2 linked regions of the Drosophila melanogaster genome follow. The protein of the gene in region 2 interacts with the protein of the main gene of each other region in a biochemical or structural test. Each region holds a gene or a part of one and is shown on either strand. Other genes may lie near its edges.

What was found. Proteins that work in one complex are often made in the same cells at the same time.
Region 1: the proteins of Pu (region 2) and ple interact in far-western blotting, tested with the Drosophila melanogaster proteins (one study listed by BioGRID).

Annotation. Positions count from the first base shown.
Region 1 is NT_037436.4:6,713,484-6,721,435, reverse strand, and holds the start of ple (pale), read left to right. Parts: upstream 1-1,910; 5' UTR 1,911-2,362; coding exon 2,363-2,431; intron 2,432-3,420; coding exon 3,421-3,532; intron 3,533-3,763; coding exon 3,764-3,883; intron 3,884-4,009; coding exon 4,010-4,102; intron 4,103-4,486; coding exon 4,487-5,306; intron 5,307-5,601; coding exon 5,602-5,728; intron 5,729-6,067; coding exon 6,068-6,466; 3' UTR 6,467-7,952. UniProt on the Drosophila melanogaster protein: Plays an important role in the physiology of adrenergic neurons.
Region 2 is NT_033778.4:21,177,417-21,183,138, forward strand, and holds Pu (punch), read left to right. Parts: upstream 1-1,701; 5' UTR 1,702-1,876; coding exon 1,877-2,228; intron 2,229-2,521; coding exon 2,522-2,731; intron 2,732-3,867; exon of another isoform or gene 3,868-3,939; intron 3,940-4,003; coding exon 4,004-4,169; intron 4,170-4,228; coding exon 4,229-4,345; intron 4,346-4,419; coding exon 4,420-4,549; 3' UTR 4,550-5,192; downstream 5,193-5,722. Other genes in the region: CG4286 (uncharacterized protein), read right to left, coding at 400-717, 780-1,121. UniProt on the Drosophila melanogaster protein: Isoform B is required for eye pigment production, Isoform C may be required for normal embryonic development and segment pattern formation.

The sequences.
Region 1 (7,952 bases), on a different chromosome or scaffold from region 2:
TCTGTAGGCACTTAAACTATAACAACATTTAGCTGAAATTATTATTTGATTGGCTTCCTAAAATATTGCTCGAAAATCGGAAGTAAATGTTTAGCCGAATGTGAATGTGGTATTAAGGCTAATGTGGGAACTTTTTTTGCCAGTGACTAATGGGTAATATAGTACGCAGTTTACTGCTAGTTGGATAGTATTATATTTTTTAAATAATTTAAGTTATTTCCAGTAAGTGCTATTTATTAATTATTACCCTCGATATTCTAAGTAAAAAGCTTTTCGATGTTGTCAAATGTATTTCCTAGCTCCCACAAACTTATTAACTCACCAATCCCACTCTATCGATCCAATTTGTATAATGGATCTATCAGATCGATAATTATGTTTTTGCTACTCCAGATGCCTTAATAACTTAATGCGGATCGAAGCAAATAGACGTATATGTGATGTGTTAGCTCATTATCGGGCTCGTTAGCTCAATCAAACGATTCGATCTACTAATTTGAACGGTCCGCATTAACATCGGCATTAGTTAGTTAGTTAGTTGCTAGATGCAGGCTGCAAGGATGACCGGATTGTTGGCAAGTACAAGTGCACATATGTAGATCAATGGCAAATTTGCTTCGATCTCGACATCGCCGCTAACTGAATTTGGTTAAAAGCTAACACGATTGAAAATAATGCTGCCACTGCCACTGCCACTGAAAATGTCATTCGAATTGGCGGCCCGAGTCCAATTTGAGAAGCGGCGGCAGCCTTGCCAACGTTATCAGCTTACAGGACAGGAATATATATATAATTATTTATATAGATTGCTATATGGTCGGTCTCGTAATCCGTCAGCTGCCATATGCAAATCCCAATCGCCAGATGTTTTGACGGGGCTTTCAATTATGCCATAGATATTGTAATGTGCCTGTACTTATCGCCCGGGCTTAGTTTAATGTGCTACATTTACGCATGCAAATTAGTTGTTAAATGTGCTTTTAAAATTTAATCGATATGGCTGGGTGCCACCTACTTACATCTCGGGCACGCACGCAGCCATGTGATCCGTACTTCCTGTTTACCATTACTTTGTTTTCCAGCTCACTTTCACTTGGTCCCTATACGATCCGCTTCAGCATCCGCTCTAGTTCTGACGCGATTCGATTGAGTCATTCAGGATCTAATGCGAATTGCTGGGTTCTAAAACTGAACGAGATCTTCGACTGTTGTTACACCTAGAAAAATGGAACGTATCATAAACGTAAGGTGCTTTTATTGTCTAAAACATTCTTAATAATTTTAACCTACTTCTTTAAAATAATTCTAGTGGTTAAAAACATTTCCCTAAAACAACTTACAGAGTAAGAATGTCATATATTTTCATTATTTTGCTCTGTGCACACACGGCGTATGCTTAACATTTGGCATGGACTAGCTTCGCTTTGTTTGGATTTGTTTTGGTTTTTTCTGTATGACCTGTTGAGGCTTTTCAAATGACTCCCGTTCGACTGACTGAATACTTTTGGGGTATTCTACCACCATTCCGATTGACGCGCACGCGCTAATGGTTAACCCCGCTTTTTAGCCAAGCTACAAGAGCAACAAAAACATGGCCAATGCGACGTTCTAGCCTGTTGCCGCACTTGAACTTGGTCGACCAAGTTGAGTCGAGTCAGGCCCCGCGATTCTCGACCCACTCAGCTGGCTGGCTAGCTGGTTAGCTGGCTGGTGAGAGGAAACCCCACGGCATCGGCATCTTGGCTTTAACCCAGCTACAGCTGGGCAACTACGTCACAGTCGCGTCATGCGAAAACCAGTCATCGTCGTTTGGTGAAGCAAACAATCGTCGGCAATCGGCCGAAACGTTCGTTAACTTGGCCGTCGGAATCGGAATCTGGGGGTATTTAAGCGGCGGCAACTCGACATGAAGCATGCATTGATTCGCTATCATTCGCCCTAAAGACTTGTGCCCAGCCTCAAGTAGTTTGCTGACTCTGTTTGTTGTAATACAATTTAGCTGACAAGGATAATACACATCACCACATCAGTTTCGAGTTCGCGAAAGGATCCAGCTAAAGTTCAACCGATCAACCATCTATATATCCCGCCGTGAATTCGAGAGTCGAGAGTTCTTGTCCAGCTCAATTCTAGACGCAAACAGTTCAGTACCAGGAGCGATTTTCTTGAAAAACAAAACCACCCAGCCAGATCGCCAATAAGCAGTGAAAGTGTCAACACATTTCGAGTGCTTATTGCAAATCAAACAAGAAAAGCGTAACCAAGCACATAAGCAAATAGTATTCTAAGTGTTTTTGCCAACACTTTGCGTAAATTTTTGTTGTTCACCCCAAACGAAAACAACCCAAACACACAAAAAAAAATGATGGCCGTTGCAGCAGCCCAAAAGAACCGCGAGATGTTCGCCATCAAGAAATCCTACAGTATTGAGGTGAGTCGAAAATCCAGCAAAACATACAATTTCCAAATCGAATTGTAAAAAAAAAGAAGCAAATGAGTGACTAGATTTGGTCTACGTGACTATCTAAAGGTTTTGTGTTTTCAAAAAAAAACCAGTTAACCGGCCAGTAGTCGAGCCCATTTTTGTGATCCCGCATTTCTTTTTCGCCAATTCAATTTGACCAAACTCAATCCTCGGTTGGCCATTAAGTCACACCTCTAAGAACAGGCGGCCCAAATCGAAAGGCCCAAATCGCCAACGGACACAACGGGTTGTGTGTTAAGTTATTATTTAACAAATAAGTGAAAGTGGCTGCCTTTGGGCCCCATGCACTTAGCCTGGCCGAAACAGTCGCGCCTCATTGTTGTTGACTCGTCTCTGTTTATGTTTATGCTGCGTCCGAGCAAAACAAAAAATATGAAATCAATATAAATGATTCAATGAGTTGGTCATCTTTCATCAGCCAAAGCGGTGGCCCAAAAAAAAAAACTGAAGAAAACAAACAAACAAAAAAAAAAAAAAACGAGCTGACAGTGAAAACTGCAAGTGATGGAAACCTTTTTCCCCCCATCAAGAAAAAGAAAGAAAAAAAACCTTTAACGATCGCCAGTTGCATTTTTTTCCCGCCAGAATCGCATGGGGATTTTCGATTTCTCAGTCACATATCATTTATCTTCGCACCTGCCCGCTTCGAAGCGGCGACATCGCATTAAATTACCATTCGTGGCTTTGAATCACAATCAATACAGTTCCATGAATAGCCAGCTTTATTCAAAGAAAAAGATCTGAAGACGGCGCTTTCACACACCATTTTATATAATATTTTCAAAATTGCGCAATACTCTGCTCAAAGTCACCACCCAAGCGTGGAGCCGAAGAAAGCCACCCTGGCTTGAAGGTCAAGGCAATCGTCTAATTTCCGCTCCACATCCTGCCAGTGTCACTAACACGGACTTCAATCTTTTCGCTTTCGTTTCCAGAATGGCTATCCATCCCGCCGTCGCAGCCTGGTGGATGATGCCCGTTTCGAGACCCTGGTGGTCAAGCAGACCAAACAAACCGTCCTCGAGGAGGCCCGCAGCAAGGCAAATGGTAAGTGGATAGGGTCCAACAAGTGGGTCACTAAAATAGCTCCAAAGAGGGTTTCTATTTGGGATCAAAAGGGAAATTTTGCAGCTAGGGCTTTACTTGTTGATTAAAAACTTAAAAAGTTGCAATTTTTATTTCATTTTATTCGTTTTGACATAGATTTGCGTTTTTTTCTTATTCATTTTAACCCTTTATTTATTATTTGCCTTCGTTTTTATTTTTATGATTTTAAAGACGATTCCCTGGAAGATTGCATTGTGCAGGCTCAGGAGCACATTCCCTCCGAGCAAGATGTGGAGCTCCAGGACGAGCATGCCAATCTGGAGAACCTGCCCTTGGAGGAATATGTTCCAGGTTAATATCCATTTCCATTTCAATTCCCATGCCAGTTACTCCTCTTTCTGAGCCTATTATCTTTGATTTGATTTTGATTATGATTTTCATGGGCTTTATTATTATTTTTATTTCATTCGCTTTTAGTTGAGGAGGATGTTGAGTTTGAGAGCGTTGAACAGGAGCAGTCGGAGTCGCAGTCGCAGGAGCCAGAAGGCAACCAACAGCCGACCAAGAACGGTGAGCAGGGGGTTCTAGAATCCAGCAGCCAACCATAAGTAGTACTTAACTTCTGAGAGGGGCTTTTGAAAAGCGTGCGACATTGATTTAAGTGCTTAATATGATAAAGTGCCAGGGCAGAGGAAAAGCACTCAGCCACACGGACAATTGTGAGTGGGCGCGCTCGCTCGCTCTCTCTCTCTCTCTCTCTCTCTCTGTGGAAATGTCGCATTTCCCTTTTTCATTTGTTACGCTCGACTTAATACAAGTACGAAATGCGTTTGCCTGGCAACCGTCTCACTGCCACTGCCACGTAGCTCGCTTATCGTTTACGTGACCCTAAGCCTTGGAAGATTGCATCCTTAACCATCACATTATCCCCGCTTTTTTTTGGCCCTTTTGCAGATTACGGTCTCACCGAGGACGAGATTTTGTTGGCCAATGCCGCCTCCGAATCCTCGGATGCCGAGGCTGCCATGCAGAGTGCCGCTTTGGTGGTCCGCCTCAAGGAGGGCATCTCCTCCTTGGGTCGCATCCTCAAGGCCATCGAAACCTTCCACGGCACCGTCCAGCATGTGGAGTCCCGTCAGTCGCGCGTGGAGGGCGTGGACCACGATGTCCTCATCAAGTTGGACATGACCCGTGGCAATCTGCTGCAGCTGATCCGCTCCCTCAGGCAGTCGGGCTCCTTCAGCAGCATGAATCTGATGGCCGACAATAACTTGAATGTCAAGGCTCCGTGGTTCCCCAAGCACGCCTCCGAATTGGATAACTGCAACCATCTGATGACCAAGTACGAGCCCGATTTGGACATGAACCACCCCGGATTCGCCGACAAGGTATACCGCCAGCGTCGCAAGGAAATTGCCGAGATCGCATTCGCCTACAAGTACGGAGACCCGATCCCATTCATCGACTACTCCGATGTGGAGGTCAAGACCTGGCGCTCGGTGTTCAAGACCGTTCAGGATCTGGCTCCCAAGCACGCCTGTGCCGAGTACCGGGCCGCCTTCCAGAAGCTCCAGGATGAGCAGATCTTCGTGGAGACCCGTCTGCCCCAGTTGCAGGAGATGTCCGACTTTCTGCGCAAGAACACCGGATTCTCTCTCCGTCCTGCCGCCGGTCTTTTGACTGCCCGGGACTTCCTTGCCTCCTTGGCCTTCCGCATCTTCCAGAGCACCCAGTATGTGCGCCACGTTAACTCACCATACCACACCCCCGAGCCGTAAGTATCTATCATCATATTTTACTAGGGGGTTAAAATCACTTCAAAAAGGGGAGAAAAAGGCTCTTTGTCCTAGCCTAATTGCATTTGCCTGCCTGCCTGCCGCCTGCCTCTGTGTGTGTGTGGGTGGTTGGGTTTCCTTTTCCGCTTTTCCCAAGCAACTTTTGTCGCCTGGAACACAGGCAAATTGGCTACAGGAACTGCGGCAGGCTGCCCAGCTCATTTAACCAGACTAATTGCCTTATGCCAGCACATTTTCCACACTTTTAACAAGCATTATTCTATGCCATTACAGCGACTCCATTCACGAGCTGCTGGGTCACATGCCCCTGCTGGCCGATCCCAGCTTCGCCCAGTTCTCGCAGGAGATTGGACTGGCCTCGCTGGGTGCCTCCGACGAAGAAATCGAGAAGCTGTCCACGGTGAGTTGATTTTCTAATTGAGTTGCAATGTAACGACCTTAGACTCAAGTGCAGCTATGACGCAGCTAGTTTTTTTTCGCAACCAAGATCATTGTTTAGTCACTGTCAAAGTCGAAGAGGAAAAGTGAACTTCAATGCCAGAATAATTTTTTTCTTTTTATTCATATAGTTTACAGATACAATTTAATGCATTTCAAAACACTTAATTGTGATTTTAAATAAGTTTTTAAGTTCAGAAAACCTTGATCTTATAAGTCATACAACTTCCTGCATTATCTGCCTTTGCTTTTATTTTCCTTCCTATTTACTCATTGGTTCCTTACCATTTCATTTCTACAGGTATACTGGTTCACTGTTGAGTTCGGTCTCTGCAAGGAACATGGTCAGATCAAGGCCTACGGTGCTGGACTCCTGAGCTCCTACGGTGAGCTGCTCCATGCCATCAGCGACAAGTGCGAGCACCGCGCCTTCGAGCCCGCATCCACCGCCGTGCAGCCCTACCAGGATCAGGAGTACCAGCCCATCTACTATGTGGCCGAGAGCTTCGAGGATGCCAAGGACAAGTTCCGTCGCTGGGTGAGCACCATGTCGCGTCCATTCGAGGTGCGTTTCAACCCGCACACCGAGCGCGTCGAGGTGCTGGACTCCGTCGACAAGCTGGAGACTCTGGTGCACCAGATGAACACGGAGATTTTGCATCTGACCAACGCCATCTCCAAGTTGCGACGCCCGTTCTAAGTGGATGGGGGGGAGATATATGTATGATATATAGAAGCACCCAAAAACATCGCCCAAAAAAACACCAGCCACCCCCACCACCCAAACATACACATACAGGTGCAACGGTCTCATTTATACAAATTAATTTTAAATTGACATACCGCACAATCCCTCGTACACGTAATCCTTAAACCAAAATTAAGGCATCGCGCATTATTTTTTATTTTTTGTTTATTGTTTTTTGTTTAATTTTTATTTAATTGTCATCGAAAAGTTGTAATTGTCGAATCGCGCACATGGTAAAAAACACAAAAATCAAGCATATTTATTTGTTGATCACCCGATACACCACCCAACCTGCATATTTATCACCGCAACTATTATTGGACCAAAAAATCTTTAGACGTTTAAGTGATGTGAAAACAAAGCCAAGCCAAGCCAAGCAAAGCAAAGCGAATTAAGTGAAGTGAAAAGCTGGGAAAGCAAAGTTCAGATACATCCGCACTTAGTAGGCAAAGTACCACACAAAAACCGATTGTATACTCAGACAAAAATTGTTTTTGTATTATTATTATCTTCATTTTGCCTCTCACAATATTTACCTAGACTATATAGACACGCGATATAGTATTCCCGGTATAGGAAGCTTCATTTAGAGAGAGTATTTCTAAACAAAAATGATATAGATACAACAATCGAGCAAGGAACAAATGGAAAACAAACAAAAAAAAAAACGGAAAAGATAAAAAATGAAATGGAAAACAAAACAGAATTTTCTTACATTGTACAATAACTGTAAACGACAATATTACTATTGTGTACTATTATTATTATTATCTATTATTATACTTATGACTATTACGTATTGTATTGTAGGTATGTAGAGTTTAAACATTATTATTTTATTTAAGTTTTGTGTATTAATAAAATTAAAAATGCAATTGAAAAATAATTACTCTTTGGTTTTTTCATTTGATTATCTTCTTTGGCAATTCGAAACTCTAAAGTCTGAATCTGTTTAGGGAACATTTTATGACATCAAAATGGAATATTTATTTAAAATTAATGAGTAGAATCGAGGAATATGATAAATATATTTATGGGTGAGAAGAAGTGAATCTCATGTGAACTAAAATCGAGCTATGTAGAAAATATTTCACAAATTTGATGAAATTATATAAAATAACGAAAAACCTTGGACCAATACATATGTATTATTATAAAGTAATTAAAATCAAAATATTTCAAAGTAAACAAAGTAAAACATTGGGATCAAGAATATTACATATTTATAGTTAACGTAGCATGGAATTTTATTGTTATTGTTCGATGTATTGTAGTTGCAATTGGATCGAAAGCCAACCAAGTGTTAACATTTCTGCAAGCAATTAGCCAAACTAATTACTAATTATATTCGCACATAAATCTATATATATAATCAACTTAAAGCGCAGTTGGTCCCCAAGCCAGGCTTCGTTGGTTCTGAAAAATTCAATAAAATTAT
Region 2 (5,722 bases):
CTGTGCTATTCCCAACTGATTTATTCGACCCTAAGCAGCGGTGGAAGGTTTTAATGTGCTTTACATTCCTTGTGGTTTGTACTTTTTTACAAACCCACCAAAATCTATTTCTCAGGACATATATATGTATATACATATATAAAGAATAACCTTCAACTCCATGCCATAAACAAGAAAAGTGCTCGCGATAAACCACGAATACTTTGCATGCAAATAAGATTCCGAATATATGCAGAGAATAATCAAATTTGGCCAGCTGGAGAGACTAGCTACTTTCAATTGAAGCCCCACATGTGGGATGCAGGGTTTCCCGCACAAAATGAGGACACTTCTAAGTGGGGTTAATGCTTTATTGATCGGCGTTATGTGCCAAAAAGCTGCACCCATCCAACCATTCCCTCACATAATGGTCTCCTCCTCCAGCATGTACTCCGTGAGATCGGCTTCGCCCGACAGCATGGTCACCGGCACCCGGTTCATCTGGGCCACCCGTTGACTGGGCCAGACCATCACGTCGCAACAGTTGGTCAACACGACCACATTGGTGCTCGGCGTGTTGGTGCACATCAGGTTGCCGGCCTTCTCCTGGTCGCACTTGTTGAACTTGCGCCGGAAACGGAACTTCACGGGCAACGAGTTGCCCATCACGCTCTCTTCATCGAAGTACGGCGGCAGGGATTTGTTGAAAGCCGGATTTGTGATGGCCGGCTTGGTTAGCTGATAGATGAGTGGAGTAACATCTAAATCACTGAAGCACATTGAATGTACAGATCACTCACCTCTTCGAGAACCACGGAGGTCTTGAGTCGGCGACAGGGATCACAGTAGTCGGAGGCCAATGTGTTCTCCGGTGTCTTGGTAGCACATGGATCCGGCTTGGGTTCGGGCACATTGGATCCCAAACCACTACCATGTGGCCCACTGTCACTGTCACGTTTACCCTTCGGATTCATGGGATCCTGGCCGCGCAATACGCATTCCTGCAGGAACTCTTCCTCGATGTCGATCAGTTTCTTGATGGCACAGTCCCGCTTCAGGAAGTTCTTGATCACGGACAGATTGCGGGGCACGGCGCCGATAACGTCGAAGTCATCGCTACGGAGCTGGAGGCGGTGCGCCATGACTTTGGTTCTCCAAGATGAATGGAGGGGCGGATGGTTGGAAGGGGGTTCGAATTTGGGGGAGTAGCTCGTTTCGAGTGGAATGTTTAAATGAACTACAACTTGACGTCTGGCCCCAAGTTGAGTGGGTTTCAAGGATATGCAAACAATAGTTGAGATTAAGTTGGCGCCAAGGATAAAGTGCACGTTTGAGGGCAAAAGCTTGGTACACTCTATTTAATAATATATATTAAGGGTAAACGCTACACTTATCCCAATAAGGTAGCTTTACTTTCCTAACAAGTAAATTGACCTACCACCCAAAGCTAGTTTTTAACATTTGATGGCACTATTTTCGTGGCTAGTGCTGTAGTTCTATCGCCTCCTGGCCGAGCAACAAGTTCGTGCGCGGTTTTACAGCCACTGGATGCCAAACCGTGGGCCTGCGCTCAGCTCGGTTTAGTTCCGCTCACTTAATCTCCGGCAAGCGAAACTCGGAGCAGAGCTTGCCCGTTGGATGGTCTGTTGGCTATTGATTGGAGCTTTCCGCCGCTCAAAGCTCCGCTCGAGAGGTTCTTATTGCCACCGCTGGCCACAGCAGCCACCAGAAGAGCAGAGCCACCCGAAGCGCCAACACGCGAAGACAAAGTCCGGCAGACAGCAGCGCAAAAAGAGACAGATAGCAGTGAGAAAATCATCGAGGAAAAAAGATTGTGTGCTAGCCGTCAAATTGAGTTCCATTCGAGTGGCAAACAAACCTGAGTAGCCGCACCGCCATGAGCTTTACCCGCCAACTGTCCGAGATGAGTGCCAGCGAGCTGAACGATGCCATCGACGACACCAACTTCCCGCAGGCCCACATCCTTTCGCGCGGACGCAACAACAGCGTCTGCTCAACAAGTAGCACCTCGGGCACCTCCTCGCTGGCGGACAGGCAGCAGAACCAGGCGGAGGAGGCCACTGCCATTGCGGGCACACCCGTCGAGGAGGTGGCGCCAGCTCCTGCTCTCGTCCCGTTGGCCGGCAACCAGAGACCCCGCCTCATCCTGAAGACCAACGGCAGCAGTCCGGATAGTGATGGTACACAACCGAAAACACCACTGACACCGCGTACATCGACAACGCCAGGTAGTGGTGGGTAGTGGTCCAGGACCAGGTCAGGGGATCCAGAGCTATGTTTGCTGCGACCGATTTAGTTAGTCAATGAACTAGGAGGAGGAGGAGTGCTTGACAAACTCTTTTTGAGCATAAACCGTACGCCTATCAGTGGGTTAGTGTTTCGGTTCAGAGGTCAGAAGATGCGCCTCGGAATGGGGAATAGTACTTAGACAGCCACACACAGCCAACGAAGGGGGGCAATGCCTTCCTATCTCGCATGATAACGATTCTCATCATGTTTCCATCCGTATTTCCATTTACAGGCCACGAGAAGTGCACGTTCCACCACGACCTGGAGCTGGACCACAAGCCGCCGACGCGAGAGGCCCTCCTTCCGGACATGGCACGCTCGTATCGTCTACTCTTGGGCGGCCTGGGCGAGAATCCCGATCGCCAGGGACTGATCAAGACGCCGGAGCGGGCAGCCAAGGCCATGCTGTACTTCACCAAGGGCTACGACCAGAGTCTCGAGGGTAAGCACACCACACATTTCAAGCAATTAGCACCGGGTCAGTGATCGAAGTTGCTCATCCTGGTTTTCCCAGCGAGTGGGAACTAGTTTCATGTCGGTGAATCACCATTTACGGGGGTTCCTCGGTCCGCTATGGTGCATTAGCCTAATTACCTGACCACTCGAGAGATAAAGCACATGAACATAGGGAGCCATTAGGCAATTTCGGGCTTGTCCAATCAAGTGGACGCATCCAAAATCCATTCAATATCCTATGAAATATGAGATTTGACTAGTAAAGTTTTTGGTCTCATGTTTGGCGTGCATTTCGACTTGCAGTCGCTTTTGAACTTGTCATGTAATCAATGTGAGTCGTTTGAGAAACAAAACAGAATTGCGAATTATATGGTTGCTACACCAGCATACCTAACCGGTTGCCCGAGAAATCAGGTTCTACGGTTTGTCAAATAAAATCGCATGTAAATTTAAGATCAACAGCAACAGCAGCAGGCCATTTGAAAGCTAAATTCGTTGAACGAAAGTGAATAGCCTTCGGCATCGGCAATAGAATGGGTTGGATTGTGTTTAACCCGAATTCAAAGAACCCAAGAAGCCGAGCCAACGTGACTTGCCAATCTGGTGTTGGGGGAACTCCACCCCCCTCCCCACCACACACACAAGATGCTTGTTGGATTGTTTGTTAGATGGCTCACTGGCTACTTGGCTACTTCTTGGCTTCTTCGCTGGTTGGTCAGGAAACGCACTGAAGCTTTCCGGTCTGTATATTAAGAGCGGTAAAGTGGGTGGGTGTGCGGTGCGGCGGCGGCTTCTATTCAAGGAATGGGAATCTCAAGAGCACATCGTTTAAAACGAGTGTGGCGAAAGCTCACACTCCACAAGAACCATAAGCCCATCCAGTCAAGTCAAGTCAAGTCAACCTCCCCCCAAGACCCGCAACCTCACACACGCACACACACACACAAACACTCGCTAAGCAACCACTTTAGCACTCACAGTCGCTTGAACTTAACATTCAGTATTCAGTTATGCAGCAAATAAATCTAACACGAATTACGCGCGCCATAAATCACGGGTAGCGAAGGAACGCCACTTGAGTAGCTTCGTGGTTGTGGGACATTGGGCGAACTTTTCAATAACGACTCCGTGGCGCAACGGTAGCGCGTCCGACTCCAGATCGGAAGGTTGCGTGTTCAAATCACGTCGGGGTCAGGCGATGATGAATTCCTTTTTCGTACTTTTTTTTTACTACACCATTTCAAATTTTTTTTAATAGATGTTCTCAATGGCGCCGTTTTCGACGAGGATCATGACGAAATGGTGGTGGTCAAGGATATTGAAATGTTCTCCATGTGCGAGCATCATCTGGTGCCCTTCTACGGCAAAGTTTCCATCGGTTATTTGCCGTGCAACAAGATTCTCGGACTCAGTAAATTGGCACGGTAAGATAAACTTAGTAATGCATATTAGATGATCTTTCATATAATTTGCGATCCCATAGCATTGTCGAAATATTTTCGCGTCGCCTGCAAGTCCAGGAGCGCTTAACTAAGCAGATCGCAGTGGCCGTGACTCAGGCCGTGCAACCCGCTGGAGTAGCAGTGGTCGTAGAGGGAGTGTAAGTATTAAATATATATACATATATATTTTAAAGAATATTATAGTTTAACGAATGGCTTTCCTCCTATACAGCCACATGTGCATGGTGATGCGTGGCGTGCAGAAGATCAACAGCAAAACTGTTACCTCAACTATGCTGGGCGTGTTCCGAGACGATCCCAAGACCCGTGAGGAATTCCTGAACTTAGTCAATAGCAAATAGAGTGGGCACTAGAGGACGCTACTGAAATCCGAGACCAACTAAACCCCTACAATATTTTTGGAGGCGCTTATATACAAACAAACAAAAATGAAACGAAACACAGGGTCCATTAGTTTATGTTTTTAGGATTGATTTCATTTAGTTAGTGCAATGATTGCGCAGCCATTTTCCTTGTTGATTTGTGTAAAAATTGTTGAAAAATTTTGTTAGCAAAATACGTTTTTTAGATAGATGAATGTAATGAGAAGCGAGATTCGAAGAGGACGAGATTTGAATACCGGTGTTGGGTAGTTTTATGTTCAATTTTATATGCAGTTTTATGGCACTTGAACGATAATTTTTACAACGTATACATACGATTAATGCATTGTGCAATAAGGGAACAACTGATAATAAATCACGGCAAATTGTTTAGGGAATTTACAATTTATAAACAGTTCACATCAAATTAATCAGATCTATAGTTATGTATGTATGTTAACCTATATAAAGAGTTGCATTCATAATGTTCCTCGACAGGGACCAAAGTATATTGGAAGATTTTAAATGTTAAAATTATATGCTCATTATGTAAATGACGTTGCTTGTAGTGAGTCAAAGCTGCTTATTAATTATACAATAAATTATGTATTTAAATAACGTTAAAATGAAGGATTTTTTATAAAATGTATAAAAAAAGAAATATCCCAAAAACAACAGGAGCTTTCTCGAATGACCCCGACGTGATTTGAACACGCAACCTTCCGATCTGGAGTCGGACGCGCTACCGTTGCGCCACGGAGTCTACTGAAATGGAGGCTACTAAGTGACAGGAATCCCCCAACACCAACAGGTTGTTGGTTCCAGTCGTGTAGTATCCATCATAGTGCTTTGTTTGAAATGCAGCAAGAGCATCGGTGGTTCAGTGGTAGAATGCTCGCCTGCCACGCGGGCGGCCCGGGTTCGATTCCCGGCCGATGCATAATTTTTTTTTAAATTTATTTCGTATATAACGAATCAAAAAAAAAAAAAAAAAACAGTGTAAAATATGATTCAAAGAAATAAATATAAATATTTTTTATTCAACTTCTTAGTTTGATAAATATATAATCTATTACTTGCAAATCCTACTGTGTACCTTTCGTTTGGACCCAAAATTATTGGATAACAATTTCACAATAATTTAATAATGAA